Linked DNA regions of Arabidopsis thaliana. The protein of the gene in region 2 interacts with the protein of the main gene of each other region in a biochemical or structural test. Each region holds a gene or a part of one and is shown on either strand. Other genes may lie near its edges.

Evidence for each region.
Region 1: of the proteins of NIA1 (region 2) and SIZ1, one has a biochemical effect on the other in vitro, tested with the Arabidopsis thaliana proteins (one study listed by BioGRID).
Region 3: the proteins of NIA1 (region 2) and MPK3 form a complex in vitro, tested with the Arabidopsis thaliana proteins (one study listed by BioGRID).
Region 4: the proteins of NIA1 (region 2) and MPK6 form a complex in vitro, tested with the Arabidopsis thaliana proteins (one study listed by BioGRID).

The regions. Positions count from the first base shown.
Region 1 is NC_003076.8:24,292,194-24,301,494, reverse strand, and holds SIZ1 (DNA-binding protein with MIZ/SP-RING zinc finger, PHD-finger and SAP domain-containing protein), read right to left. Parts: upstream 6,735-9,301; 5' UTR 6,460-6,734; intron 6,362-6,459; 5' UTR 6,270-6,361; coding exon 6,246-6,269; intron 5,978-6,245; coding exon 5,897-5,977; intron 5,678-5,896; coding exon 5,635-5,677; intron 5,526-5,634; coding exon 5,453-5,525; intron 5,359-5,452; coding exon 5,196-5,358; intron 5,032-5,195; coding exon 4,901-5,031; intron 4,594-4,900; coding exon 4,525-4,593; intron 4,282-4,524; coding exon 4,194-4,281; intron 4,115-4,193; coding exon 4,039-4,114; intron 3,828-4,038; coding exon 3,754-3,827; intron 3,625-3,753; coding exon 3,517-3,624; intron 3,034-3,516; coding exon 2,872-3,033; intron 2,768-2,871; coding exon 2,663-2,767; intron 2,580-2,662; coding exon 2,499-2,579; intron 2,416-2,498; coding exon 1,212-2,415; coding exon of another isoform or gene 1,195-1,211; exon of another isoform or gene 964-1,194; coding exon 828-963; coding exon of another isoform or gene 824-827; exon of another isoform or gene 743-823; coding exon 703-742; coding exon of another isoform or gene 665-702; and 2 more. UniProt on the Arabidopsis thaliana protein: E3 SUMO protein ligase involved in regulation processes. Mediates SUMO/ attachment to PHR1, a MYB transcriptional activator controlling the phosphate deficiency responses.
Region 2 is NC_003070.9:29,234,093-29,241,845, reverse strand, and holds NIA1 (nitrate reductase 1), read left to right. Parts: upstream 1-2,361; 5' UTR 2,362-2,478; coding exon 2,479-3,532; intron 3,533-3,610; coding exon 3,611-3,751; intron 3,752-3,843; coding exon 3,844-4,076; intron 4,077-4,515; coding exon 4,516-5,841; 3' UTR 5,842-6,125; downstream 6,126-7,753. UniProt on the Arabidopsis thaliana protein: Nitrate reductase is a key enzyme involved in the first step of nitrate assimilation in plants, fungi and bacteria.
Region 3 is NC_003074.8:16,754,091-16,759,947, forward strand, and holds MPK3 (mitogen-activated protein kinase 3), read left to right. Parts: upstream 1-2,480; 5' UTR 2,481-2,502; coding exon of another isoform or gene 2,503-2,694; 5' UTR 2,695-2,827; coding exon 2,828-2,985; intron 2,986-3,068; coding exon 3,069-3,198; intron 3,199-3,286; coding exon 3,287-3,424; intron 3,425-3,525; coding exon 3,526-3,858; intron 3,859-3,950; coding exon 3,951-4,134; intron 4,135-4,216; coding exon 4,217-4,386; 3' UTR 4,387-4,784; downstream 4,785-5,857. Other genes in the region: AT3G45645 (uncharacterized protein), read right to left, coding at 2,503-2,694; NAXT1 (nitrate excretion transporter1), read left to right, coding at 5,163-5,262, 5,363-5,580, 5,664-5,857. UniProt on the Arabidopsis thaliana protein: Involved in oxidative stress-mediated signaling cascade (such as ozone). Involved in the innate immune MAP kinase signaling cascade (MEKK1, MKK4/MKK5 and MPK3/MPK6) downstream of bacterial flagellin receptor FLS2.
Region 4 is NC_003071.7:18,135,615-18,142,107, forward strand, and holds MPK6 (MAP kinase 6), read left to right. Parts: upstream 1-2,631; 5' UTR 2,632-2,862; coding exon 2,863-3,095; exon of another isoform or gene 3,096-3,316; coding exon 3,317-3,446; intron 3,447-3,895; coding exon 3,896-4,033; intron 4,034-4,124; coding exon 4,125-4,457; intron 4,458-4,537; coding exon 4,538-4,718; intron 4,719-4,906; coding exon 4,907-5,079; 3' UTR 5,080-5,374; downstream 5,375-6,493. Other genes in the region: AT2G43780 (cytochrome oxidase assembly protein), read right to left, coding at 830-1,051, 1,378-1,437; AT2G43795 (corepressor), read right to left, coding at 5,521-5,728, 5,826-5,892, 5,987-6,122, 6,216-6,317. UniProt on the Arabidopsis thaliana protein: Mitogen-activated protein kinase (MAPK) which regulates abscisic acid (ABA) responses in a MAPKKK20-MKK5-MPK6 cascade involved in root growth (e.g. root cell division and elongation) and stomatal response.

The DNA.
Region 1 (9,301 bases), on a different chromosome or scaffold from region 2:
ACGCTCCTAAATGGATTGTTCTGTTTTTCTTTCTGTTGGGCCCATTTTACTTAGAAATCTAACATAAAAACCCACTAAAAACCATTGCTGGACTTGGTCTAACACACCACGAACCACATCATTTTGCACATAAACAGAATACAACGAGCACACTTGTCCAGGATGAACAACGAAAGGATTGGATTGGATTGTCCGCAAGGATTAAGCTTATAACAGTTGTTATATCCTTAAACGAGCATCATGTAGTACTGTTGTCTTCTTTGTCTTTGGCAGAGAAGTATAATGCTTCTGGGCTTCTGGCTTTGACCATAACCATGAAGTTAATCACATGCAACACAATTTGCAATGGAGGAGAAGAGCTGAATTTTTCTAATTAATAAATAAAATTTGGAGCCCATAATTTACATTGCTATATCTCTCTATAGCTCCTGGCTTCGAAGTAATTTTATCATCGTCCACACAAAAAAAACCTATTTCGAGTATACAAACTACTAATTAAATCGGAACCACTGTGCCCACTTTTCTTTTCTATCAGAGAAACTAAATCAGCCAGTGCTTCGCTTTGCAAATTACATCCTGCAGTGTAGCAGACAAGGCCAAGATTCTGAACCGATATTGAAGAGAGAGTCAACAACATCATACAAGTGAAAATATCAATACCGGTTCAATTCTTGCCTGCACAGAGAATTATGCAAATCTTGTTTAAACTCCGGTGTCTTGTCTGATGATCCTGTTCATTGTTCTGTGCATAGCGTTAAGAATCAAAAGGAACACCGAATCATCCCAAGAGAGACACAACAGAACAGACAAATCAGGAAGAATATTACTCAGAATCCGAGTCAATGGAGAGGTACATCCGAGGTCTTACAGAACGCTTCTGGCGAGGAAATGAAAATGGATTATCTGATCTTTGCTTCTTTGCCTTGTCTTGTCTACTGTCATTCATACCCAGAAGCAACGACGCTGCAAATACGCAGTAATAGTCAGTAAGTATACCACATGGACTATGGACATATATAAAGTAGCATATTCAAAGACAAAATACGCCACATAGAAACTAAAACAGATATTTCTTCTTCAGTTGTTTATAAGACCTAGCTAGCAGCTTAGTAAAGTGATGAAAAAGGTAATGCAACATCAAGAACATGGTCCACATTTTTAGGTCCCTTTGATGTTTTCAGGAAAGCATTAGTCTCAGACAGGGAACAAACCAGTCTCTGTTGTAGTATCCATAGAACCTTCCCTCGTAGACATCTGATGGCTTGAGTTAATCCCGTTTGTAGTTGCAGGATCTCCATGATTCCCAGAGGCGCTATCGCCTAGCCTAAGCGAGATCCAGTCTTCACTACGGAGACCATTTGACATATCAGCTTGGTTTTTAAAACCCGACTGAGCTGAAGCATCTGGTTTTGTTGGCAAAAATATTTGAAGTGAGGGATCGTCTCTACCAAATGCAAGAGGATTGTCAACTAGGCCATCGTTTGCTTCAGATCGGCCAGTAGAGCCAGGAACCACAGGAACAGATGCCATTGATGTCTCAGGAGCCATGGTATAACCTCCATTTATTTCAGGAGAACAGTTTAGTGGACTATGATGATGCAAACCAACTAAACCTCCTGAAACGTCAGCATCAGATCTAAATAGTTGGAACCCAGGGGCTTCTGGAGTTTCAGAAGGAAATGACCAAAGGGGCGTATCAAATTCATCATCATCATTGAAAAGACCTAAGCCTGAACTTCCCCCAGCTATGCTGTGTGGGTCCTCATTATATGAGTTAATTATTCCAGGAGGGTTCAGTGGAAAAGTAAGTCCACCATCTGTTTGACAACCACTGTATGCAGGCCCTGGAGTGATCACTAAATCATTCTCGTCATCAGAATCACTCAGAACGATGACTTCATTATTTCCACCCTCGCCAGATTGGTTTCTGTCAGGAAAGTTATAACCTGAATCAACATTCATGGAAATGGAATCAAGTTCCATGCCGTTGGCTACAAAGTCAAAAGTTCCAATAGCATCCTGGTTTACGCTTGCATCATCACCATCCCTACCACTTCCAGTAGCACTACTACTCATTGGTATAATATTCTTCTCCTGATACCCAACCTTTTCTTGCCTATTACTGGAAGATAATCCATTTGTATTAGGTTTGCTAACTTCCCAAATGCCATTACGATTCTTCCTTATTCCAAGTTTTAGCGGGGCTGGACCATCTGAGTAACCTTCTTGCTTAACCGGTAACATTTCCATCTTCCGTTTAATATCAACAGCAGAGGGGCAAAGGCTACCATCAGGTGCATGCCACTGTGAGAGTTCCCCCAGTTCCCTTCGCTCACTCTCTCTTTTGAACTTTACACGCCAAGAACCATCAGGTTTCACTTCAATTTCAGTCACCTCTTCATCACAATGCTTCATCTGTCGTGCAGGAAGACAACTACTGAATAAAAGCGTAGATACAAAGATTTTAAGAATTCTTGAATTCCCATAAGAATACATACCTTAGACGTGATACGGTTAAAATAAGGATCGACGATTACATGCTCCACTGAGTAGTTCTTCAGACAAATAGGGCACTGCCACTGCATGTTAACAAACCCCAGAACAACTAAAGTCAGAAAACAAGAGACATAACCCAATATCTAGACAAGGATAGTAGACCTACCTTTCTGGAACGTTGATTCAACTCCACAAACACATCAAGGTCAAAACAGCCCATGTGCACACAGGGTAAAAATCTCCCAGCAACTTTTATCCTAGAACCGCTCATCTAATGACGCAAACAGAAAAGACAATAAAAAAAATTCAGTCTGCAAGATAGCCCTAGGAAGAGGATAAGTATAAAAACTGGGCTACGAGCTATTAGTAACTTACAGGACACCGAAGATTGACACCGAAGAAATCAGCAACAACTTCAATGTCACTATCACTGTCGGCATTATCATCTCCACCTCCACCTCCAATGCATCGGCGGACACGTGCAAGAGCATCTTCAAAAGTCTCCCCTTTACCCTCTTCTGGAATCAAATTTAGAACCTAGATGCAAAAATGAGTATATATATAAGCAACTTGGAGATCATTAGATCATTAACGTACAATATGAATTCCTCTGTATACAAGAACACCAACAAAAGTGATAAATATATTGATTAAAGGGATAAATGTTGCAGCACAAGGACAGACTACACTTCCGTAACCAAATCTCATACAAGGCCAGGCTCAGTGGCTCATATACGTGAAATATAGGAAGAAGAATAGGACTGTGAAATTTGAAATCTGACTAACTTTTCTAGATTTAGTGGGAGTGGGAAATAACATGGGAATAGTTTAACGTAAGTGTGTAACCACAGGTAACTTCCACAAAATTACTTTCTTGGGTACGCCAACATAATTTATTCTTTCTTTTTGTATTCAGAATATTAATTTCGTTCCTTTTTGAACATTTATGTTTGGACTCTTCATTGACCACATATACGACCAAATCTTTGAATGTTTCTTATGCATATATGTTATCAGTACCTGTTGTAGAGTCCTGCGCTTCACAAGTCTGACCCCAAAACAAAAAATCCGAACGTCACCTCCACTCAAGGATATTCTGTTAACTCCATCCCTAATACAAGATGTAATCTGCCAAAATAGTAAAATGAAATGGTTAAAACTTACATCACTGATTGCTAGATTTTCAATGTATGAGAGATTGACTCCTATATGTAATTCAAAAGGGTTACTACTCAAAAGGGATGATAAAAAACACACAATGGGTCCATCGTCGCGGCCGTTGACTCCCAAAAGCTGTCCTCCAGGTCGATTAATTGCACGTACAGGCACACCTATGAAATGATAGGGTATATATCATGAATCCCACATCAGAAACATACACAGTCTTATTGAGTATGATCAGAATAACAGACAAATAAAGACAATGTGAATGTGAATGGAATGTGCCCACAGGAATTTATGCAACATGAAATAAAACAACATTCCCCTGTTTCAAAGGAAATGCTCAACCGACTAAAACTCTGGTCGATGTCATTGTCATACCATTGACCTGCAGATCAGCATACTGAGGCCACTGCATCCTAAAGAGAACTTTATCATTCAAGAGCATACACCAAGCCTAAACAAAATTGATTTCCAGTTAGAAACGTATAGGTAGATACACCTTGACATATTAAATGTAGTTTACAAAACCCAACCTGAACATCGTACTCTGGTTTGGCCAAAAGGTCCTTGTCTGCCCTTGTGATTTGAAATGTTCTCTCCACACTCTGCATTGTGCTTGCACTGAAAAGTTTTGGATCGGAGTATTAGTACAAACAAAAGCCAGTAACAGTATTTCTTCAGCAGGTGCTATGCATATAGCCAGGAAACAATTGTCATTCTTGAAACTAGAATGAATGTCTTATACCAGTTCCAAGTAGAAAATTTAAAGTCAAAGTGACTTATAAAGTACCAATTCACACAATAATGGCACTGAAAGTACACTCGTTCAAAGCAATAGCAATATCAAGAATATAAAATTCTTACCCATCATTTGGGATAGTCGTTGCAGTCAGCCTCACTGGAGAGAGTGGATGTGCCACTGTAACCCAAAATCTGAACAAGGAAACCATGTAGGAAAACCGTGAATAATCATGCTATAGGATATCCACAGGTGCTAATGTAAAGATAGGAAATAATATATAAAAGAAAATTGACAACTATGAAAACAGTACTAGAAGAAGAAGAACAATCAAACGCAAAGAAACTAGAATGCAAAGCATGTCAAATGTATAAATATGTCTTTCTTTTCAGTTATGGCAGGAAAGAATCATAAAGCAGTGAGGGAGGAACTCAGATGGAAAATCAATCACATATCAAACTTAAACTCAGACAGGAAAAGTAAAATCCTTGAAACACATACGGGTCAGCTCGAGTAAGTCGGCAGATTTCACAATAAAATGATTCCGGAAGTGGTGGATTCCCATCCATAGGCTTATCTGGGAGAATAACACAGCCAACATGCTGCCAAACATGGCATCTTGGATCCTCACACTGAAATCGGAAGAAAAAAAACAAAAATTACAGCCAGAAAGTATCACCAAACTTCACAAATGTAATCAATGATAAATACATCACACCATCGACCATAAAATACAAAGAAATTGTCTACAGTCAGCTCAAACAGGAATAAACGCAGTGAGTTCATCCCAGATTACCTGTATCATTGAGTCTGTTTCTAGCGAGTTTCCACAAACACATCGAACTTTAATTTCTGGTTGGAAGGGGTCTTCAGGCTCTCCCTTAACTTTCAGATTACTGGTATCTGAACTCACTTGTCCTTTTGATGCTAAATCACTTGCCCCAGATACTTGCATTTTCCTATGGAACACAATATAAAATTAATGGTAACAAAGAACCGCCACAAAAAGCATGGCATCTCCTAAGAAATCTATTGAAAGAAACGAGCACTCACCTATATGTATCGTCCACTAATTTGGCAACTGCTTCCTTTGCCACTGTATTCTTTTTAGACAACAACCTGGCAGCTGTCAGTAGGGAATGAAAACGGAAGCTTATTAGAAGAAGATGGCAGAGCTAGCAGTGACTCTTAATACACCAAAACGTGAATAAACAAAAGCAAGTGGTTCATATAACCTTGTTCATCAGAAAGAAGGGTCAAGATCCGGTCGACAAGTTCCTGCACAAGAAAATTTCAAAAAGAAGTTAAATTTTTTGGTGAAAGAATAAAACAGATAACACTCTTTGCAAGGTAATGTCTTAGATTTATCTTGGAAACTGCTATATAGCTCAAGACAGCAATAATTATCACCCAAAACATCATCTTCTCTACTATAATCATTCCAAAACAATCACAAACATAATCACGACCAATGGAAGATTAGAGAACGATACTAACCTGCTTCTTTCCCTGTTTCGAAAGTCCCAGCTGAGTGAGCACATCCTTGAGCTCTTTTATCCGAAAATATGAAAGTTTTTCCTGCAACCCACAACAAAAACACAACGTTAAGCTTAACTAGAGCAAGACTAAATTCAATAACAGCAACCACGAACCATAATCCAAAACCCTTATGAGATAAAGGATCGTTTTTTACTCCCAGCAATACAATCTAGATCATAAACAAAACGGAAAAGCAAAGCTTTTTTGAAACATCCACTCTATATACCAATCAACACATTCATAACAAGTTCAAATCAACAAAAATTATAAACCAACAAGCATCCATAGATCTTTCAGACAATAATACCTTACAATTAGCTTCCAAATCCATGTCTTCAACACCAGACACAAACAAGAACCAAAAGCTCAGTTCAAAACACACGAACCTAAACTCCAGCAATTAGTCTCCATACAGCAACCGATCTAAATTAACAGAAAAAAAAGAAGGAGTTACTGAAACGAAAACCCTTGAAATTCCAAAAGACAAGACCTTTAAAGACTATTAAACGGAAAATACAAACCATGAAATCGGATACTTGATCAAACCCTATCGAAATTGATAGGTTAATGAGAGAATTGAGATGATTAGAAACTAGGGTTTTCACAGCTACGATAAGATTTTCTTTGGCCAAGGAAGAGGAAAATAAAAAGACAACCAAACCCAGACGAAGAAAAATCGATCCGCCGAGACGAAAACAAAACAAGGGTTGCCGGACGAGTCGCCGATTATCAAATCCGGTTTAATTTTCGCGCAATACGTCCGGGTTTAGTTCCTGTGTGGTCACGTGCACGGTCGTCCCCCCCACCAATATTGACGTGTTTTTGACTTTCGGTTCTCACACCACTTATTTACGACCGTAACGGAGTCTTTGTTATTTTAATCGAATATTCCCCACGTTTTATGACATCAGCCGTTCGATCAGACCGGACCGGTTTGTTATATTTTAACCTCAATTTGTTTATTTGCCGGTTTATAGTATATATCAAATCAATTTGGAAGTTTATCATCCGAAAACATGGTTTTCCATATGTCTCTCATGGCATATGTAGATATTGTATTATTTGATTCTAATTCTTCTAAGTAAGAATTTGGAAACATATTTCATGTCTCTTTTCTTCATTTGTTTTCATTGAATTGACATAGAATGTACATTGAATTGACATTTCTCACCCTCGCTAAATTCATTGAGAATTGTGGCTCAATTCTTCCATATGTGCATTATAGTTAAACTACGAATAAAGGATACAAGTGAGCAAAACCCTACTTTCAAGTTTCAACTAGTAAATCTATCGAATGGATTGCTAGACCGGATAATTCATACTCATTACGGGATGGTTCGTAAAACATGTGGGAAATTATCTTATATATCCACCAAATATTTGAGGTCTCGTAAGCATGTGATCTTGCAAATTGATACGTGGACCAAATTAGATATTGGACACATTTATATGTTCTTTCTATATGTAAAAAGCTTCATTCCGTGTGGAGTTCATTTGTTACAAGAAATGAGATATTATAGATATCAAATAGCATGAAGCTCTTTCTTCAACACTATTTCTACATACAAAAAAAAACATTATATACCAATTAGTGGTGGACTTCTGGTGATAAGATTTGGCTTTTTATCTTTTTGGATGCTGTGTTTTGAACAATGACTTGTCGAGTTTGAACCAAATTTGGTGTTAACCCGAGATATTAAAAAAAGGTTTAATTAGACCTATAGATTTTCCTTGTTCTGCTTAATGAAGATTCTAGAGTAGTCGTGAGCTGGTCTCATTGACTTGATATTTTTTTTGCTTCTAATGGAATGAGATATCTTGAGTTCATGATGTGGATAGTTTTCAAAGATTTGTCAACCTTTTCGTCTTAACATTTTTATATGTCCCTTGTCAAAGGCAAAGAAACATATCGAAAGTAAAAGAAAAGACATTTTTTTCTTGTGGGTGAGAATCAAACCAAACTTGTGAGAATTCTGCAAACGTACACAACTCTTAAATTGATAAAGCTTTTCTTGAAACTTTCAGGCTGAGGATGTGCTGCTAATCATGTGAGCTCCTTGCTGAGCTAACATTCAAAAGACCAAAACATATTTGAGCAAATAGCAAGAACCTATCTTGGAACAGATTATCATTTTAGGTAAGAGAAGACGATCTAGAGGCTCAAACCAAGGTCCTCTACGGAGCAGTTTCATTGTTTTTATGGTGTTACTATGTAAGTAGAAAGAGAATAGTTTATGAATATTAAGATGCATCTTTGTTAGAGGGTGATTATTGAACAACTGAAATACCTTGATCTCTCCGTATTAAGATGCATATATAAGGATTGCTACGTAGGAGAGATACCGTCACCACTAGTTAACTTCTTAGAAGAGGTGATGGCGCTATCTCTCCTGCGAAGCAAATCTTTATTTGCAGTTTTAAAACCATAGAAGAAGCAAGACCACTTGTATGTGTAATCACTCTATTAGTATCACCTCATCCATATATATATTATTACCTTAAGGTCAAAGAAGAGTGGACTTAATTTACACTGTCACTATCTTTGCTCTTAAATCATAATTGTCATTTAGTTTGCTGCTTTCTATGTGGCTACAATCAAATGATTATCAGGATTATTATCCCAAGTGAGGTCATGTTGTTAACGTCATCTCCAATGATTTGGCATTACCTTCATTTCCAAGAATTCACATTGATAAGTTTTTTTGTGTGTGTATATACTCTGTAGTTTATTTGAGCTCTTGATTTTGCATCTATACACAGATGCTACATATGTTCATGAACATAGATAGTGGAGAAAATTTTGGTACTTATCCATAACTAGTCCTTTGTGACCCATGTTACATATGTTGGTACTATGTCTCAAAAGCAATGACTTATCCATAACTAGTCCCTTGTATAATGTTGGTACTATGTACTATGAACAGCTCCTGGATTGTCACTTTGTAGCAAGTAGATTCTTGTAACACTCAACCATACCAACTAGCATATAATATTCTAATTATAGGCATAAATCTCAACAAAACACTTTTGACTGCTAGTTTTTAGTCTTTTTGGAGACCAAATTTCATTGTTAAGATTTGATCAAAAGGTATTATTCAAGTTATATGCAAATCATTGCAAGATTTGTTCCAATAATCATCAATTCCAAAAGTAAATGCCTTTGTCTCATTGTTACCATGTAATAAATGGTGAAAGTGATGTTAAATCTTGCATCACTGTTTTTAAGGGTCTGCTTAATACAGAAGTTTAGGTGGGAATTACTTTAATGAGCAAGTTGGTTCAAAAAACAAGTTGACAAGACTTGATATGAATGATTTAGCAGATGAGAGGCTGCATTTATTCTTGCTGAAAAAGAATAAAACT
Region 2 (7,753 bases):
GACTAAATTTCGAGAGCTTGAAATTCATTTCACCTCCCATTTGCTTATTAGAAGCCAAACGGTTTTGAATAAGCTCCGCCCTTTCCATAAGCACATGCAGCTTACTTCTAAGTTTCCGGCTTTTCAGTGAGCTCACGCTTTCATTTAGCGACACATGGCCGTCGACTTCATAAATTTTGAGGTCACGATTTTGGTGTTAACTTCGGCGTTTTATCCATTTTTCTTGGATTTTTTTGTGGGTTCATTTTGGTAGTTCGGGTATATAGTTCACTTTAACATGACTTGCAAGATAATGCGCTACTGAAAATGTCGTTATGACATGATAATTATAAATTCTGTGCAAAGTTGATTATTACTTACTAGCATAAAGGCTTAAAACCAAAATTGACTCTTGAATTTATTTCATTACACCGGATGCAAAAGATAAAAGTTAGCGGGTCCATACGTTCTTACACATGTATCATTTATAATTAATAATCTAATAATCGAAAATCCATTTTAGTAGAAAACAAAACAAAACAGAAAATCGAAAATTCAAACAAGTGACAAAAATAATATTACGACCCGTCCCTTTGTTTGGTTGCCCCGTTCGTGTATTTGCTTGGCCGTTGGTGTTCCCATGCGCCACTTAGCCTCCAAAGTCTTCTCTCTAAACTCCTTTTTTATACCATAATCTCTGTTTAGTTTATACTTAATTGCGCTTTATCTTCTTAATCGTCATGTAATCCATAAAAATCTTCGAGATATTTACTTTCTCGACTTAATTAATTAATACAATTTCTCTATATTAAACTAGTCAACAATATGCTCAATATCATATCATACATATATGTTTTAGCCCACAGGATTCTCACTCTCCATTTTCTTATTATTACACTGACGTCTAATTTGACGTTGATTTTAAGAAATTGAAGTCAATATAGACAAAATCTATCTGTGAATATGCTGATTAATACCCTTTTATGTAATATGTATGTACACGTGATGTACTTTTAATCTTGAGTCATACATCTATGATATTTTGCATTCATTAACATACAATTTCCCAAAACTATGAGCAAGTTTACGTGTTACTTTTGTCTTTAATCATCATTCAATATTATCGAAAAGTTCGTTGCCATATCATATATTTGTGGAATAAAACTAGGTAATATTGTTCTTGTTTTACATTAACTAATGCATTTTTTTTTGGGGGGCACACATTAACTTATGCATATTCCAAATAAATAAACTATTTTGTCGCCGTGACACATTGATAAAAAAAACATTCTAGTGCTTCGATTGAAAATTCAAGTTTCTCCAAAATTTACTCTCCGCTGCATCCGCACTTTACAATTGTAAAAGAGAATACCCAGTATTTTGCATAGACAAATCTATTTTTTTTTTTTTTGATGGGTATTTTTTATATCTATGTCGTAAGTACGTTACGTTAGCTAGCTAGAACATTCCCTAGCAAGAACTAGTAGTGAGTGAGGAAGAGAAAAAAGAACTCAGCATTGCTTATACAAGAGTCCATGTTTGTGGATCCAAGGGAAGGTTTATCTCAGCTTTTTTTCCTCAAGAGAAAGGTGTATCTTGCCCGTGGTTACTCGATTGTTGTTCGTATTCAATTTATTAAATTTTATAGCTTCAAGGGAAGGCATGTGTTTCTTCTTTTTTAAGTGCAATATTTTTGTTTATTACATAAAGTACTTCCTGGAAGTTTCGTATAGACTCCAATAGGGTTTCTCTGACTTTTCCAATTTCAGTGTCGGAGTACATTAACTCTAAAGAAATAAACATGCATGAACATGCTTTTTCATATTCTACATATATTTTGCAGTCTATAATTGGTTTTTCCACTGTGGTTTACGCTAAAATAAATAATATGTTCTTGTTAAATGGCCACAAACAATTCCGACACCATAAATGTGAAACTTTTAACAAAACTATATTATCAATAACTAGCTAAATTATGATCAAGACCAGTAAACATTTCAACACTTAACGTAAAGAAATGAATTGGCTATTGACGATATAATTTTTTTCCATAGAAAACTATGCATATGTTTGTCACAATTTTTTTCTTTCTTTGTATTAAAGTTAAGTGTTGAGTGAGAGAGGTATCATAATCATAGTACCCTCCCACGATATTGCCCACGGATCGAATCCTTAGACCCGCATTTTATTTTTAACTTCATATCGCATTAGTATTTAAAAGCAAATATATATATCCTATGAAATAAAAATCTCCCGCCTTAAAGGCCAAACCTTAGGATCTAGGTAGGTGGGTCCCTCTACTCAGCGACCACACAAACTCACATTTGTCAATTTCTCCTCTCTCTTAATTTATTAATTATTTTATTTACTCATCTCTGTAACGCCCCCTATAAATACAACCTCTCATTTACTCATTCAGAAACCAAAAAATTTCACAAACCAAACCAAAACCAAAAAAATAGCTTATCTCTCTCTTATCACCGGTTCAATCACTAAACCATGGCGACCTCCGTCGATAACCGCCATTATCCCACCATGAACGGCGTCGCTCACGCCTTCAAACCTCCTCTCGTTCCTTCTCCTCGCTCATTCGACCGCCACCGTCACCAAAACCAAACTCTCGACGTCATCCTCACCGAAACTAAAATCGTCAAAGAAACCGAAGTCATCACCACCGTCGTAGACAGTTACGACGACTCCTCAAGCGACGACGAAGACGAGAGCCATAACCGTAACGTCCCTTACTACAAAGAGCTGGTTAAAAAATCAAACAGCGATTTAGAACCGTCGATTTTAGATCCGAGAGATGAATCAACGGCTGATAGTTGGATTCAACGTAACTCATCCATGCTCCGTCTCACCGGAAAACATCCATTCAACGCCGAAGCACCTCTTCCTCGTCTTATGCACCATGGATTCATCACTCCAGTTCCACTCCATTACGTCCGCAACCACGGTGCAGTTCCCAAAGCGAATTGGTCAGACTGGTCAATCGAAATTACCGGACTCGTTAAACGTCCGGCTAAATTCACCATGGAAGAGCTAATCTCCGAGTTCCCCAGCCGCGAATTCCCGGTGACACTCGTCTGCGCCGGTAATCGCCGCAAGGAACAGAACATGGTGAAACAAACGATCGGATTCAATTGGGGATCCGCCGGAGTATCTACTTCTCTATGGAAAGGTATTCCGTTAAGCGAAATCCTCCGTCGATGCGGGATCTATAGCCGGAGAGGAGGCGCGTTAAACGTTTGCTTCGAAGGAGCGGAGGATCTTCCCGGCGGCGGCGGATCTAAATACGGAACAAGTATTAAGAAGGAGATGGCGATGGATCCGGCTAGAGATATTATCTTAGCTTATATGCAAAACGGCGAGCTTTTAACGCCGGATCATGGGTTTCCGGTTCGGGTCATTGTACCGGGTTTCATCGGTGGTCGGATGGTTAAATGGTTAAAGAGAATCATCGTCACGCCTCAAGAATCTGACAGTTACTATCACTATAAAGACAATCGAGTCCTTCCTTCTCTCGTTGATGCTGAGCTGGCAAATTCCGAAGGTAAACTATTAACTTACCCTTGTCTTCTTTTACATTTTAGTTACCGATGCTAATATTATTTACTTGTTTTTGTTACAGCTTGGTGGTATAAGCCTGAATACATAATCAACGAGCTTAATATAAACTCGGTGATTACAACACCTGGTCACGCAGAGATTTTACCGATTAATGCATTCACTACTCAGAAGCCGTACACATTAAAAGGCTACGCTTATTCTGGTAATTTATTTTAACTTTGCTTTAGTTAAAAGTTAAAAGGATTCTTTACTATGTAATTAAAATCCTGATCGGTGTATTGATGAAATAAACAGGAGGAGGTAAGAAGGTAACGAGGGTTGAGGTGACTCTAGACGGAGGAGACACGTGGAGTGTTTGTGAGCTTGACCACCAGGAGAAACCGAACAAGTACGGTAAATTCTGGTGCTGGTGTTTCTGGTCACTTGACGTTGAGGTTCTTGATCTGCTCAGTGCTAAAGACGTCGCGGTTCGAGCCTGGGACGAGTCTTTCAATACTCAGCCTGATAAACTCATCTGGAACCTCATGGTAATAATCCTCTCTCTTGATATTTTTAAATTATAGAATTAATTAGTTTACTTTATTCTTTACTATATGATTTAAATAGTTTAATCTTGTTTTTGAGTAAACTATTCGATTTTGATATTTGTATTCGTCCTACAAAGTTGGAACTACTGATGATATTTTCTTTTGAACGTGATACCTACCAATACTAATCTTACGGAATCTTTTAATAGAGCACTAATCAACATGGAACTAAAGACCAATTCTTTAAGTGTCTCTGTTGTACAGTTCATTTTAGTAGTGCGTTTAAGTATTATAATCTCCCTTCATGCGGGGCAATTATGTAGATTAAAATCGAAATTATATAAAATTTACATAAGTCTAAGTCTAGGGTCTCCAGCTAATTGTTATTTTTTTAACGATGTTGACTAAAGCAATAACGACGTTGACTTGTGTTAAACAGGGGATGATGAACAATTGCTGGTTCAGGATTAGGACCAACGTGTGCAAGCCTCATAGAGGAGAGATAGGGATAGTTTTCGAACACCCGACCAGACCCGGAAACCAGTCGGGTGGGTGGATGGCAAAGGAGCGTCAGCTTGAGATTTCCTCAGAATCCAACAATACCTTGAAGAAATCTGTCTCATCTCCTTTCATGAACACTGCCTCGAAGATGTATTCAATCTCTGAAGTTAGAAAACACAACACTGCTGACTCTGCATGGATCATCGTCCACGGTCACATCTATGACTGTACACGTTTCTTGAAAGATCATCCAGGAGGCACAGATTCTATCCTGATAAACGCAGGTACAGATTGCACCGAAGAGTTTGAAGCCATTCACTCTGACAAAGCCAAGAAGCTTTTGGAAGATTACCGTATCGGTGAACTCATCACCACTGGCTACGACTCTTCCCCTAACGTCTCAGTTCATGGTGCCTCAAACTTTGGTCCTTTGTTAGCTCCAATCAAAGAGCTAACTCCTCAAAAGAACATTGCTTTGGTCAACCCACGTGAGAAAATCCCGGTTAGGCTCATTGAGAAGACTTCGATCTCGCACGACGTTCGTAAGTTCCGATTCGCATTACCATCAGAAGATCAACAGCTTGGTTTACCCGTGGGGAAGCACGTTTTCGTTTGCGCCAACATAAACGACAAACTCTGTCTCAGAGCTTATACTCCCACCAGCGCCATCGACGCGGTTGGTCATATCGACCTCGTCGTCAAAGTTTACTTCAAAGACGTTCATCCAAGGTTTCCCAATGGTGGACTCATGTCTCAACACTTAGACTCGTTACCAATCGGGTCAATGATAGATATCAAAGGTCCACTAGGGCACATCGAGTACAAAGGCAAAGGCAACTTCCTGGTCAGCGGCAAACCTAAGTTTGCCAAGAAACTAGCAATGCTCGCCGGAGGAACAGGCATCACTCCTATCTACCAGATCATTCAATCTATATTGAGTGATCCAGAGGACGAAACCGAGATGTATGTGGTTTACGCAAACAGAACCGAGGATGACATTCTTGTGAGGGAAGAGCTAGAAGGATGGGCTAGTAAGCATAAGGAGAGGCTAAAGATTTGGTACGTCGTTGAAATCGCAAAGGAAGGTTGGAGTTACAGTACCGGGTTTATAACTGAAGCTGTGCTTAGGGAACATATCCCTGAAGGTTTGGAAGGCGAATCGCTAGCACTCGCATGCGGACCACCGCCTATGATTCAGTTTGCGTTGCAGCCAAATCTAGAGAAGATGGGTTACAACGTGAAGGAGGATCTCTTAATCTTCTAGATTTGCTCAAGTTCTGTGCTATTGGAAATTCGAAAGTTGATAACAAGTATCGCTTATGTGTGTATATACATGGTTATTTGGGCACTTTTGTTATAGTTGTTGTTTATCAGAGCTCCAAATTGTATATTGTATAAAATTGTGTTTAATTATGATCTATGTTGTTGATGATGATGATGATAAATGATGAACTTATTGTAACTCAAACTTCTTGTGTCTTGATATTATCGTTTTTTTTTTGTTATTGCATGTCAGGACTCATGTCACAACATCTTCTATTTGAGTTATTATGCTTCCATAATGTGTCGTGTCATCTATTACTGGTCGTCTAATAAGTTAGTTATAGTTCACATCAAGTGTTATTCATTTAATCACGCCTGGTAAACGTTTTGTCGTATAAGACTAATAGTTTTAAGTTAGTTACCACTTGTGGTCGTGTTGCTTTCAATCGTCAGTGACAACAAAAAAAGACAAACATGCATGAAAATAAACGTTTAATGCAAAGATACGCATATCATTATGTCAAAGGGAGACGAATGATGCTACAGTATGCGTTCGATACAAAAAATGGAAAAAGATCTAAAATGGATTTTCGTTTCGGCCCCACAAGATTCGTGGTTCATACGCATTTTACAAGTAATAATATTATGGAGAATGGTGATATGTAAAAAACATTGGATCTTTTTTTTTGTCACACAAGACTTTCATAGTGAGTAACGAAAGTTAAAAATGAAGGTATCCATGATTCCATATTTAATTATTAATTATAAAGAGAATTCAAGATCCACAGTGAATAAATAATAAGAACGGATTCGGTGATATTGCAACTATATAATGAAATTGAATACTCTGATTCATCGCTTTGTATCAAGATCGAATCTCTAAAAACATATACTCTATAATAAATATCTGCAGTCGAATTGTGATATATTGTAAGCAATCTGAAAAGAATAAGTGGGATATATAAACAACCGGCGAAAGTACAAGTTCTACCTTTTTTTGGCATGGAACCATGTTTTTAGGATTTACTTTGTAATTCCTGAATCTTTCATTTCTTGAATTGATATTTACATTTTTATCAAAAAAAAAGTACAAGTTCTACCAAAGCACAGGAGTTAAACAACTTGTGTGTCAAATGCTAATTTAAAGCCTAATCTTATGATTTCCCTTTTCTTCACGATATATACTGATATTGATATGCACCCATTTGTTTGTCATTAACTTCCCACTCTATACATCAGTATCTCAAAGTCGAATAACAATATCCATAAGAAGTGGTATATTGTGAAAAAAAAAAAAAAAAGTGGTATACTGGTATATACAATACCACGGTCTCGAATTGCCTCAACAATTTCTAGGAGAAAATGGACGTGTCTCTTTGGTTTTATTTTATTCTTAATAACATACTCTATATTTTAAACACTTCGATGTCTCGCTTAAATTTCGAATGTGCCTAAATTTCTCTAATCATAAATCGTAAAGAAAATTCGTCGAAGCCACAGGGACATGCATAGGGCACGTAGTTACCTTTAAAACCATCAAAAATATATTAATAGAAAAGGAAACTTCCTAAAAGAACAATTTAATAAAGTGGATAAAAAAAGATAAGAAGGTAGGCAGAAGAAAACGTATGGCCGCGACTCGTAACAAGGGACGTCCCGACCACTGCGGAGACGGCGAGACGCTGACTGATTTTTTCTTTTTCTTTTCCTAAAGAACGTTGTTTCGTGCTTACAAGGGTCAAAACCATATCCAATTGTTCTGCCTATTATTATATAACTAAAGATCCCCTCTTGTGCTTTGTCTTTATTCGTGATATATAATCTAACTTAAATTAGTTCTAAAATATATATGTCCTACCTATGTTTCTACTGACCTCAGTCCCTAGTTAGCTATATGGACATATGTGAAAATG
Region 3 (5,857 bases), on a different chromosome or scaffold from region 2:
AGTTACAAGTTTTATAAAACTAATCGTCTAATACAATGAAATTTCATCAAAATAATTATTTTTCTATAAATTATGATGATCTAAGTACCGGATTAAGAACAAATTACAAATAAGAATACTGTACACAACAAAACTCAAACATGTGACTTCAGAAAATATTTTACTCGTAAATTAAAACATAAACATACACGAATACTATCCTTCATATATATCTTTGTATCTAAGAGTAACTCAATGTTCAAAATAAAATACAGCTAAAAAAAGTAATAAGCAAAAGAATATGGGATAAACTATTTTAAGCTGAAAAAGTAACAAAGTGATAGAACACACTCATGCATCATTAGTTTATGTAACAAAGAAGAACTCATTTTAAGTTGTTGCAATGGAGACTTGCTTCAAAACCTTTGAACAGTCCACAAGTTTCAAGCTTTTAAACGTTCTACAGATGAACAATGGAATAAACGACTAGGCCATTCTTTTCAAAAGAGTGTTCATAAGGGAAATATCATCCACATGCATTTGGAAGCTCTTTATAAGCTTTCGATTTTGCCCGTACCTAATGATTTTCGTTTGTCCATCTAGGAAGTACTCGATTTAAAGTTTAGAACTAATTTAAACAATCATTGTTTTGATAAGGTTAAGTATTTGAAATCACTTTTAGATGACTTTGGAATAGTTTTAGAAGGTTATAATCCAGTGAAGTTTAACGATGCATCGTTATTCCTTAACATAAATAGAACTCTAACTTAAATAAATTTCATAACAAAATCAATATTTTTAACGATAATGTTGGAACATAAATTATATAGCGCATACGATTATTTAGAGGAATTTGTAAACTAAATATTAATATCTTGTTCGAACTCGAAAATAGCTTACTTTTTTTTCTTCATAAGTGTTGGCTTTGATATATAACAACAAAGTGTTACAATAGTGGAAAACTCCACTTACAGAATTCGATAGGCTAATGAGCATTACGATATTAAATTATCAAACACATATAGATAATCTCCTTTAATTTTCATCTACTCAGAATTGAACATTTTCATAATCTGCAAGTTCTGCTTTATCTTGTCTGCTTTCATTGGAAATGAAATGGTATATGTTGGTCGGTAAAAGACGAATCAAATTTGTAAACTAACAATGAACTATTGAAAGAGTAAATCTTACAGAAATCTCAAAAGAAAATAAGATACTAAAAAGGGAGAAACTGAATCTCTCACTTAATCCCCATTCGGGGAACCTTTACACTTAACACGCGATCTGATGGAGCCATGAGTGCAATCCAATCAATCCAAAACTTCTGCAAGGCCCTCTTACACAGATATCCTAACGAAAAGTAACCACAAAGATCCGCTTCTCAACTCCAAAACCAATTTGCGCAAATAGAGATTTTGCCTATTTTGCTATCTCTTTCTTCTTAAAACAAAGCCTTCTTAAAACAAAAGTCCAACAACAAAAGTCAAACCGAGCCCAATATAGTAACCCATCGAGGAAGGGATAAGAAAGCCATACAACACAGAGACATGTGTCGCCTCATGAGGAAATCACAGACACGTGACGAGAAGAACGTGTTTGTCGAGAATGCCAACCACTGCCGGCATGTTTTCTGAGATCGAAGAACGCCTACCCACCGAAAGTTCGTTCACTCCGCAAAACCAGAAGCTTCAAGTAGAGCACTGAAGACCCTCTAAAGAAATTGCACATCTAGTCTTCCTCTTCCAAACGAAATTAAACTCAGATTTAACAAACGAACGAAACTTTCTTTCATATGAAGGAAAGCGTCCACCATTCCAAAGTAGCATGAAGCATCACAATGACGTAAGCAACCAAAAAGATTTTCCGGTGAGACTTAACGTCGCCATGCCCATCAAGTGAAACTACTACAAAATTTGAACGACAAGGCTTATGAAGCCGAAACTCTTAAACTTCCACTTTTTCTTCGTAATGAAGAAACTTAATAAGTTTATTAGAAATAAAGACAAATAAAGGCAAAATACCAAAGAACGGCGACGATAAAACCGGATTTACCGGTAACTATAACTAGAACTCACCGTACGGTATTGAAACAAAAAGTTGGACCATGTCCGAACACAACCTCACAAACATACGGGAAGGCATACGAAACAAAGAATTTTTTCTTTTTCTCAAAATTTTAGAGAAAGAAGAGAATAAAAAAATTCTGATCGAAAATAGCTTACTTAAAAATCATAATTGAATAGTATCTTTTGTTTTTAAACTAATTTAGTCTATATAATAATAATATTATTAACCATCGTAAACCACACATGATATTCAATACTTATAATAAATTAATCGCATAAAATACAATACTTAAAACGAGTGTTATATAATTTTACGTAACGTAAAACAATACAAAATTTTAATTCCTGAACGAATAAAACGAGTATATTAATTAATTTATTGATCGTATTAAAACGAATATGATCCAATTAAGATTACAATTACTAAAATCCCCACACTATTATTGTCATTATTTAACTATGGCAGATAGATAGATACAGAACCGTAAAGGACGTTAGGAAGAGGAAGAACGTTGACGAAGTCAACAACGAACAGAAACCGTCGATTTGAGGCGGCTCTAATCTCAACCACACGATCTTCTCTGCCTTTCCCTCTTCTCTCTTCTTCTTCTTCTTCATCTTCTTCCTCGCAATTACCGCGAAAACTCATCTCTGCTCAATCCTCAATCTCAGTCTCTCTGTTGACTCCGACTGTTATATAAAACCATACAAATACCTTCAGATTCACTACTTCAAACCTCAAAGCAACCACTGAATCTCGACTTTGATCAATTGAGAGAGAAATGAACACCGGCGGTGGCCAATACACGGATTTTCCGGCGGTGGAAACTCACGGAGGACAGTTCATAAGTTACGATATCTTCGGTAGTTTATTCGAGATCACATCTAAGTATCGTCCTCCGATTATACCAATTGGTCGTGGAGCTTATGGAATCGTTTGGTATGTTTCCTTCTCTGAGCTTTTTCTTAAGTTTTATTCTTTGAGATCGGAGTTTTTAATTTCTGGATTTTGATTTTGTGAAGCTCTGTGTTGGATACGGAGACGAACGAGCTAGTAGCGATGAAGAAGATAGCTAATGCTTTTGATAATCATATGGATGCTAAGCGTACGCTTCGTGAGATCAAGCTTCTTCGTCATCTTGATCATGAAAACGTTAGTGTTTTTGTTCGATTTTGTGAAATATCTGTAGAAATTAGTAAATAAATCATGATTAGGGTTTTTTGATTTGGTATTGCAACAGATTATAGCTATAAGAGATGTTGTTCCACCACCACTAAGAAGACAGTTCAGTGATGTTTATATCTCTACTGAATTAATGGATACTGATCTTCATCAAATCATCAGATCTAACCAGAGTTTATCAGAAGAACACTGTCAGGTAAACTAAAAACTGTTCTTGGCTTTTTTCTGGGATTTATATTTGATAGAAGAGACATGAAACTGATACTTGATTTGGTGTTTTTGTTGTCATGGAAACAGTACTTCTTGTACCAGCTACTTCGAGGACTGAAGTATATCCACTCAGCTAACATTATTCATAGGGATTTAAAGCCGAGCAATCTTCTGTTGAACGCGAATTGCGATTTAAAGATTTGTGATTTCGGTCTTGCTAGACCTACTTCAGAGAATGATTTTATGACTGAGTATGTTGTTACGAGATGGTATAGAGCACCTGAGCTTCTGTTGAACTCTTCAGATTACACAGCTGCTATTGATGTTTGGTCTGTTGGTTGTATCTTTATGGAGCTTATGAATAGAAAGCCTTTGTTCCCTGGTAAAGACCATGTTCATCAAATGCGCTTATTGACAGAGGTAAAATATTTTAGAGAGTTATGTAATTTTAGCATGGTTTAAAGATTCTGCCTTTTCACGGAATATGTGATGAATTTGTTTGAATCTTGCAGTTGCTTGGCACACCGACAGAATCTGATCTCGGTTTTACTCACAATGAGGATGCGAAAAGATACATCCGGCAACTTCCCAACTTCCCACGTCAGCCCTTAGCTAAACTTTTCTCTCATGTTAACCCAATGGCCATTGATCTTGTTGACAGAATGTTGACGTTTGACCCCAACAGAAGAATCACTGGTAAGTTTCATACATGTTCTCTGTTGGTTTTTCTTACCATCACTATGTTTTGATTAAAAACTGAAAATACCATCTTGTGCAGTTGAACAAGCTCTGAATCACCAGTACCTTGCTAAATTGCACGACCCGAATGATGAGCCAATCTGTCAAAAGCCATTCTCTTTTGAGTTCGAACAACAGCCTCTGGATGAGGAACAGATAAAAGAGATGATCTACCAAGAAGCCATAGCACTCAATCCAACATACGGTTAGAAGTGCAGCAGCCCCGTGAATGCCTGGTATTACCCAATAACCATCCGAATGGCTACTTAGTATCTTTGCCTGTTCTTTTATTCATGTACTTCTTCCACATATGTAATCTTGTAACTTTTATTTGTTTGTTCATGTTATTTACTGCTAGTGATTAAGTGTAGCTCCAATGTAAAGTACTCCAGTTATTAAAGAATATCTATAGACTTTTTTACTTCACATACTCTTGAGTCTTCCCTAGTAAACAAAGAGAAGAGAGAATATAATTTTGTAATGTACAGAGCCTCAATATTTGTGGGAGACATTATAGAGCTAGAGCCAGAGTCAATGCTGTCGCCGTGAGTTGTCTATTCTCATTCAATGACTTTCAATAGATTTTAGTGGGATTGGCTTTAGGTAGCTTGCATTATTGAAGTAGAAATGGTCAATTCCTTAGCAATAATTAGGCACAAATGTGTCTTTCTTTAGTAATATTGTAATATCCTTTGTCTGACAATTTAGAGTTGACTTCTAAAACGTTGGGTTGGAAATAATGTTGTCTTCACACAGGCTGTTACGAAGCAGACAGTGATGGCTCAACTTGCATCAACGGAAACCTTTGAGTTTTTGTTTTACTTTCTTAATGTTTCTTTATTTGAAGCTGCTGCGCATGGAGAATAAAATATCGTGGACCCGAGAAAGTCATCATTGCTGTATTATTACTTATACTGTATATATGTTTCAGAATTTCAGGCCATTGTTGACAAAAATAGTGAAAGATTTCTGCTTGATTTTGAGACATGGCTAGTTCAGTTACTGGCGATGCAGAAACAGCGATATCAGCAGATTCAAGCACCAAACGCCGTGGTGGAGGTTGGATTACCTTTCCGTTTATGATAGGTGAGAGATTCTGTTTCTCTGTTTTTATATTTCTCATAACTTCATAACCATTAGAGCTTGGAAGAAGAAGTTGAATTTATCTTATCTTTCTATGGTGCAGCTACGTTGTTAGGCTTGACAATAGCTGCGTGGGGTTGGTTACTTAACTTGATCGTCTACCTGATCGAGGAATTCAACGTGAAGAGCATTGCAGCGGCTCAGATTGCTAATATTGTTAGTGGTTGTATCTGTATGGTTCCAGCTGTTGCAGCCATTGCATCTGACTCTTTCTTTGGAACCATTCCTGTTATCTCAGTTTCAGCTTTCATTTCTCTTATGGTAAAGTTAATAAAGAGTCCTTGACATTTGTTTTTATCAGTTTCTCTCTGAAACAGAAATTCACTAATTCTACTCTTGACCAGGGTGTAGCTCTACTGACTCTAACTGCTTCACTTGACACTTTAAGACCTAGACCCTGCGAAACAGCTTCAATACTATGCCAGTCTCCTTCGAAAACCCAGCTCGGAGTCCTTTACACGGCCATAACTCTAGCCTCTATAGGAACAGGTGGGACACGGTTCACATTAGCAACTGCTGGTGCGAACCAGTATGAAAA
Region 4 (6,493 bases), on a different chromosome or scaffold from region 2:
TTTGCACCAGAGACGAAAAAAGGACTTCAAGTCCGGTTACAGAGATCTCACAGATTCAATTTTGACATAAAGCAAAGCAACCACTAACACCAAATTTAGTACTAGCAGCTCGATTCGTCTCAAAATCGAAACATACATGCATGATTCACCTCCCATTATATTACAGACAGTGAAGAGTTCAAGAAAAAAAGCTTGATAGATACCAAAATTCCAGCAGAAGACTTCATAGAACGAAATTACTTAAAAGAGTAACCCTACATAGAAAGAAGTTACGCACCGAAGTCAAAGGAAGGGGAGGGAGGCACGAATCGCTCGGTGTCGTCGCAAAATTACCGGAACCCTAAACCCAGAGAGAAAAAGCTCGCGAGAAAGAGGAAGAGAGAGATTCAGAAATTAAACAAGTCTGTATTTAATTTTGGTTTATTTGCAAAATATTGATAAGACCCTATTTTATGACGGAATGAACCCGATACTATTCTTTTTGTCAAAATAACCCATCTCCTGCATGTTTTTTGGGCTGACAAATTGGGTTTCTTTTGATTGATTTTGACGGCGTAGTAACAGAAATTTATGGATAGCCACACCTTAGCTTAGACCAAACGTTTAGGTACAAAGAGTATGATAAAGTTGAGAACTTAAGACAATGTCAAGAACATCAAAACCATGTCCTGATCATACATTCTCTTGTTTAATCAATGTATTATAGATTGGACTGAGACTCAAACACAGATGCCACTCGATGTCAGAAACGAGCCACTTTCGTGACAAAAGAAGCTTGGAAAGCAAAGATAAATAACGGGTTTGGTTGGACATATCAAGCCAGTGAGGATTAGACCTTAGATGGAACCTTGGTGTCAGTGTCCACCTGTTTTTGGCCTTCGAACTTGTCTATAGCCACTTGAAGCTCGTCTGTGCCACCAACCGCCCTCATTGTGTAGAAGTATACCCCAAAAACAAAAGCTGTCAAGCCACCAGCTACAACCGTGTTCTTGCCTTTTGGGCCTAGGTAACTAAAACCTGGAAATCCCGCCATTACTTCAAAGTCTTTAACCTGCAAGATCCAATGTGTCACATGTTACAGAAGAGACCCAAGTATCAGAAGTATTAGATTATGTTATATCTTCAATATCACAGTTTCATAAATACTAAGATGAGGAATAACAAGAGAGAACTCTGAAGCATGATATAACAACTTTTGATTACTCTTTTTAACATTGCAGAAGTGACTCCAGAAGCCCTGAGGCATCGCAGGACATTGACATATTGTTCATATAGTGAAAAACAGATTACACAGATTGAATACGACGAATTTTCGAATTGTTATACTTATACCTCATCCTAAGAACTACTACGCCAAGAGTAAGTGATAGTACTCACAACGAGATCAAAGATGAGTACAATCATGGTATGAATGAACAACTGAAAGTTGCAAAACATTTCAGCAAAATAGAACTTTCTTCTGCATCATAATGGAAACGGAGAGAAAATCAATTGGTCACATTCATGCCCATCAGTCTAACATAATTGTCCACAAAATCAGCGCACTTCCCTTTAACGAGTCAATCAACCATAAATCATCAACCAAAGCAAAAATAAAGGCAATTAGAAACCTAACTCTACATCTATACATCCAAAGCTAACATCTTTTAAACGCAGGCTACTGTTACTCAACCAAAGTTCTCAAAACCAGATCAAAATGTCAAAATGAAAGGAGAGCAGAAAATATCAATCAAAAATTGGTTCTTTAAGCAAATTACTCCAAAGTCCACAAAATTAAAATGGAATCGAAAGGAACCTGGTGATGAAGGTTTGATGATCACTCGAAAATCCGAAAGATACAACAAAGCTGATATTTTTTTCTTCTACAGAGAATCGTGCCTAAATGCGACAGAAGCCTAAAGTTTCCCTATTTAGTTGACAACTGGTTCGGTGACGCTTAGTGTCGTGGCCACTTACCAATCTATCGAAAACCCTAAACCCAGTAAGAGCTCTCGTGTGAAAGAGGGATAGAGGCAGAAAGCAAGCCGTCTCGAGTTCGAACCCAACTGTATAACACAAGAGAAGAGATTTATTGCTTCATTATGTAAAAAATATTGAGATGATCCTTGTAATTTTGGAATATTATCAAATTGAACCACCATACTTTTTAAAAATCCAAATAACCCTCAACCAAGCATGTTTCATGTTGTGGCCTCATTCACACTATACGACTATCAAGTTCATCGAAATTCTTGATAGAGAACTTTAAATACTTAAATAGTTAATTTAGATACTATCTAATAACTTTTGGCGGTTTATAAGTTTTTGTGTTTTTCAATCTACATAAAATTTAGCGATTTTTCATGTTACAAAAATAATCTCAAAATTAAAGTACAACCCAAAAACATAATATCAATGATAATAACTACATTTATCTATGATTCATTTTCACCCAACATTTACATTCAAAAAAATGCTGTTGTTACTTGTTAATGATAACGATTAAGGAAGGAAGTCAATGGAACAAAAAAAAAAATGGTGATAAGTCAATGTAAAACGATGCCGTTTGTAACCATAACAGTGTTAAACATGAGAATAAAGGATCAAACTTTGAACAGTGGCTTGCTTGCTTGCTTACACACACGGGTCAAGTGAAGACCCAAAAAAAAATAAAAAAATTAATAGATCCGTACGCACATGACTTTCACTTCTTGTCTCTCAGATCTGTTTTGACCCCAAAACCAACGAATATCAATTTCTCCAATTTCATTCATAATTCACTCACCCCAAAATTACAAAAAAAAAAAAAAAAAAAGATTTTCCATTTCCCTCTTCTCGATCCACCACCACCACCAACCTCAAAAGCTTTCATCTTTACCGGTCATGGACGGTGGTTCAGGTCAACCGGCGGCTGATACAGAGATGACAGAAGCTCCTGGAGGTTTTCCCGCGGCGGCTCCATCGCCTCAGATGCCTGGGATTGAGAATATTCCGGCGACTCTTAGCCATGGTGGTAGGTTTATTCAGTATAACATATTTGGAAACATCTTCGAGGTCACCGCTAAGTATAAGCCTCCGATCATGCCTATTGGCAAGGGTGCTTATGGCATCGTTTGGTAATTTTTCTCCGATTCTTTTGATTTTTGGCTTTTGCTTCTAATTGAAATAAAAAATGATTTTTGTTGATTGGGTTTTGGTAAAGTTGGTTACTTTTGATCCGCAATTTGTAAAATTGATTCCTTTGTATCGTTTTTGAGCTCTAATTATGATTGGGATTTATTTTTGTTTCAATGAAAGCTTTATCCTTTTGTGGTTTTATTTGATTTTGATTTTGCAGTTCGGCTATGAATTCTGAAACTAACGAGAGCGTTGCGATTAAGAAAATTGCTAACGCTTTTGACAATAAGATTGATGCTAAGAGGACTCTCCGTGAGATCAAGCTGCTTCGTCACATGGATCATGAAAATGTCAGTTTTTGCTCTTTCTTTGTTAACTAAGAGTCATCTGTTTATAGAGTCTTATGTAGAACATAATAGGATTGTAGATTTAAATACACTCGAAACATGGTAACTACTAGCTGATGCAAAATTGTTTAGGTAAATAGATGATGTATATATTTGATTGATATTGTATGGGCTGATTAGGTTCTGTGTATGAATGTGTTGTATCTGGTGGTTGCTTATTGCATTTAGATTTAAGGGAATATACATGAATGTTGACACAGTGTGCTTGTATTTTTTTCGGTTTGATACGGATTGTTTCGCGCTTATTCAGTAGTATGATCTTTTCCATCTGCGTCAAGATTTTAAATTCTAGAAATCAAATCGTAAAATGTAACCGTTTATCTATGTTGGCGTTTGCAACGTGTAAAACATTTCCGATTGATAAAACACTTACCATCTTTCTGTTAAATCAGATTGTTGCAATCAGAGATATTATCCCGCCACCATTAAGAAACGCTTTCAACGATGTTTACATCGCGTATGAGTTAATGGACACTGATCTCCATCAAATCATTCGGTCAAATCAAGCATTATCCGAAGAACATTGCCAGGTTTTGAGTTTTGAGATTGTTTGTTGACCTATATAACTCGACTTGAAAACGGGGACTAATTGAACTCCATTTCACTTGTCTCTTTGTGCAGTATTTTCTTTACCAGATCCTCCGTGGATTGAAATACATTCACTCTGCAAATGTGCTTCACAGGGATTTGAAACCAAGTAATCTCCTCCTGAACGCAAACTGCGACCTAAAAATCTGCGATTTTGGGCTAGCTCGAGTCACTTCTGAGAGTGATTTCATGACTGAATATGTTGTCACGAGATGGTACCGTGCACCAGAGCTTCTCTTAAACTCTTCTGATTATACTGCAGCTATCGATGTTTGGTCTGTAGGCTGTATTTTCATGGAGTTAATGGACCGTAAGCCACTCTTCCCTGGACGAGATCATGTCCATCAGCTTCGCTTGCTCATGGAGGTAAGTAGTAACCCTTCTTTGACCCAAAAATAAGCTTTGAAGCACTAAAGAAACAGACCGAGACCATTTTCTTTTTGCAGCTCATAGGAACTCCATCAGAAGAAGAGCTCGAGTTCTTGAACGAAAACGCAAAGCGATACATAAGACAGCTTCCACCTTATCCTCGCCAATCCATCACTGATAAGTTCCCGACAGTGCATCCTTTAGCTATAGACCTTATCGAGAAGATGTTAACATTTGATCCTAGACGGAGAATCACAGGTTAGTCCCTAACCTCTATACCATTTTTAACTTGCAAAATAACTGGAATTGCTTGTACGGATCATTCCAAAATCCCGAAAAAAGATTCAATCTAGTGAAGGAATAATAATAATGAGTTCTTGGTTATTTAAGAGTTAGTTAGTAGTCATCACCTCTTATTGATTCTTGATTCTCGATTCTTGATTCAGTTTTAGACGCATTGGCCCATCCATACCTGAACTCGTTGCACGACATAAGCGATGAGCCAGAGTGTACAATACCTTTCAACTTTGATTTTGAAAACCATGCACTCTCAGAGGAGCAGATGAAGGAACTAATCTACCGCGAGGCGCTTGCTTTCAATCCAGAATATCAGCAATAGTTTGAAGAACAGCATTTGGGAGATGAAGATGAGATAAGGGTTTGGCGTTATTTGGTTTGGACAACATTCTTAAAAGGAGGAAAGATCATTGTTTGTCTTTTGTGTATACTTGTGAGAGATGTTGAAGGGGATGGGTCTCAAACTTTATATTTCAGTCTTTTGGATAATTTGTTCTCTCTGTTTTTTTTTTTCCTATTCGTATTTGTAATTTGCCCTCATTTTGTTGTTGCAGTTATTTAAGACTTAAATTGTCTCAGAAATAGTTATGTTATGATAGCCCACCTTCAATTCCTCTACAAAATACTTGCCATTACTGTCAGCTTTCTTGTTTTATAAAACAGCAGGGAGAGAAATATTGCAGGGAGATGAGGATAGTACAAATCATGTCCTCGGGGTGAAAATTGAGCATTTGATGAACACAATCTCAAGTCTTGCACTGTGTCAACTCTTAAGACTGCCAAAGAATTTTGATTGTGGTGCAGGACCATCAGCCTCATCTTTACTTTGGTTTTGAGTGTCTGCCTCTAGACTTGTGTTTCCTCTCCCTCTTTGGCCTCTTAGAACTTGACCTTGACTTCCTAGATTCGTCTTTGTCACTACTTGAAGATTCAGAAGATGAGCTTGAGTCTGATGATCGCCTTTTCGAATGCTGCAAATCAATAAACACAATGTAAGCTAAAAGCTTCAAGCCAACAGAATTATAGAAGATGTTCAAACTAAACTCGATGCAGTTGTTATGTAAGCACCTTTCTCTTTTTGCTTTTCTTCCTCTTGGAATCTCTGCACTTTCTATCTGTGAGCTCTCTCTCCTTCCTATCTGTAAGATCAAATGGCATATTAGAAAAGCAAGACTCGAACTGCGGATTGTATGACATTCCATCTGCTTAAATTTATTGTAAGTGTATACCTTTCCTGGATATGTCACTAGAATAGTTCCTTCCCTTAGAGAGCTTCATTGCCCTTTCAGCATCTAGCTGAGCTCTATACTCACGCATCAATTTATCGGTATCTGCTTCGACTTCTTGCTTTTTCAATTCTTCTTCCTAAAGAGCGGTCACATGAAGCATATAGAGTGAGAAACATTTCTTATCTGTCGATGCTCCTAAAAACATCGATTTATCGATCAGCAGCTATACCTTTTGCTTCTGCTTATATTCTTCCCAAGTAAGAGTGTGTGTAGTCTTGAGACTGGCCAAACGAGCTGCATGCCATTCTGGTGAATGAAATGAACCATCCATCTGCGACTCGCCTCATCAGAAATGTTTTGGTAACAAGATAATAAGCATAAACATAACAATCTAGCCAGATTAACATGACAGAGAGAGGAACAAAGTAGCCCTAAACAAAGAAACGTTTTAAAACGTGATATTTAGCGTTTTGTTGTTTTGTTAAGGATAATATTTAGCGTTTTGAA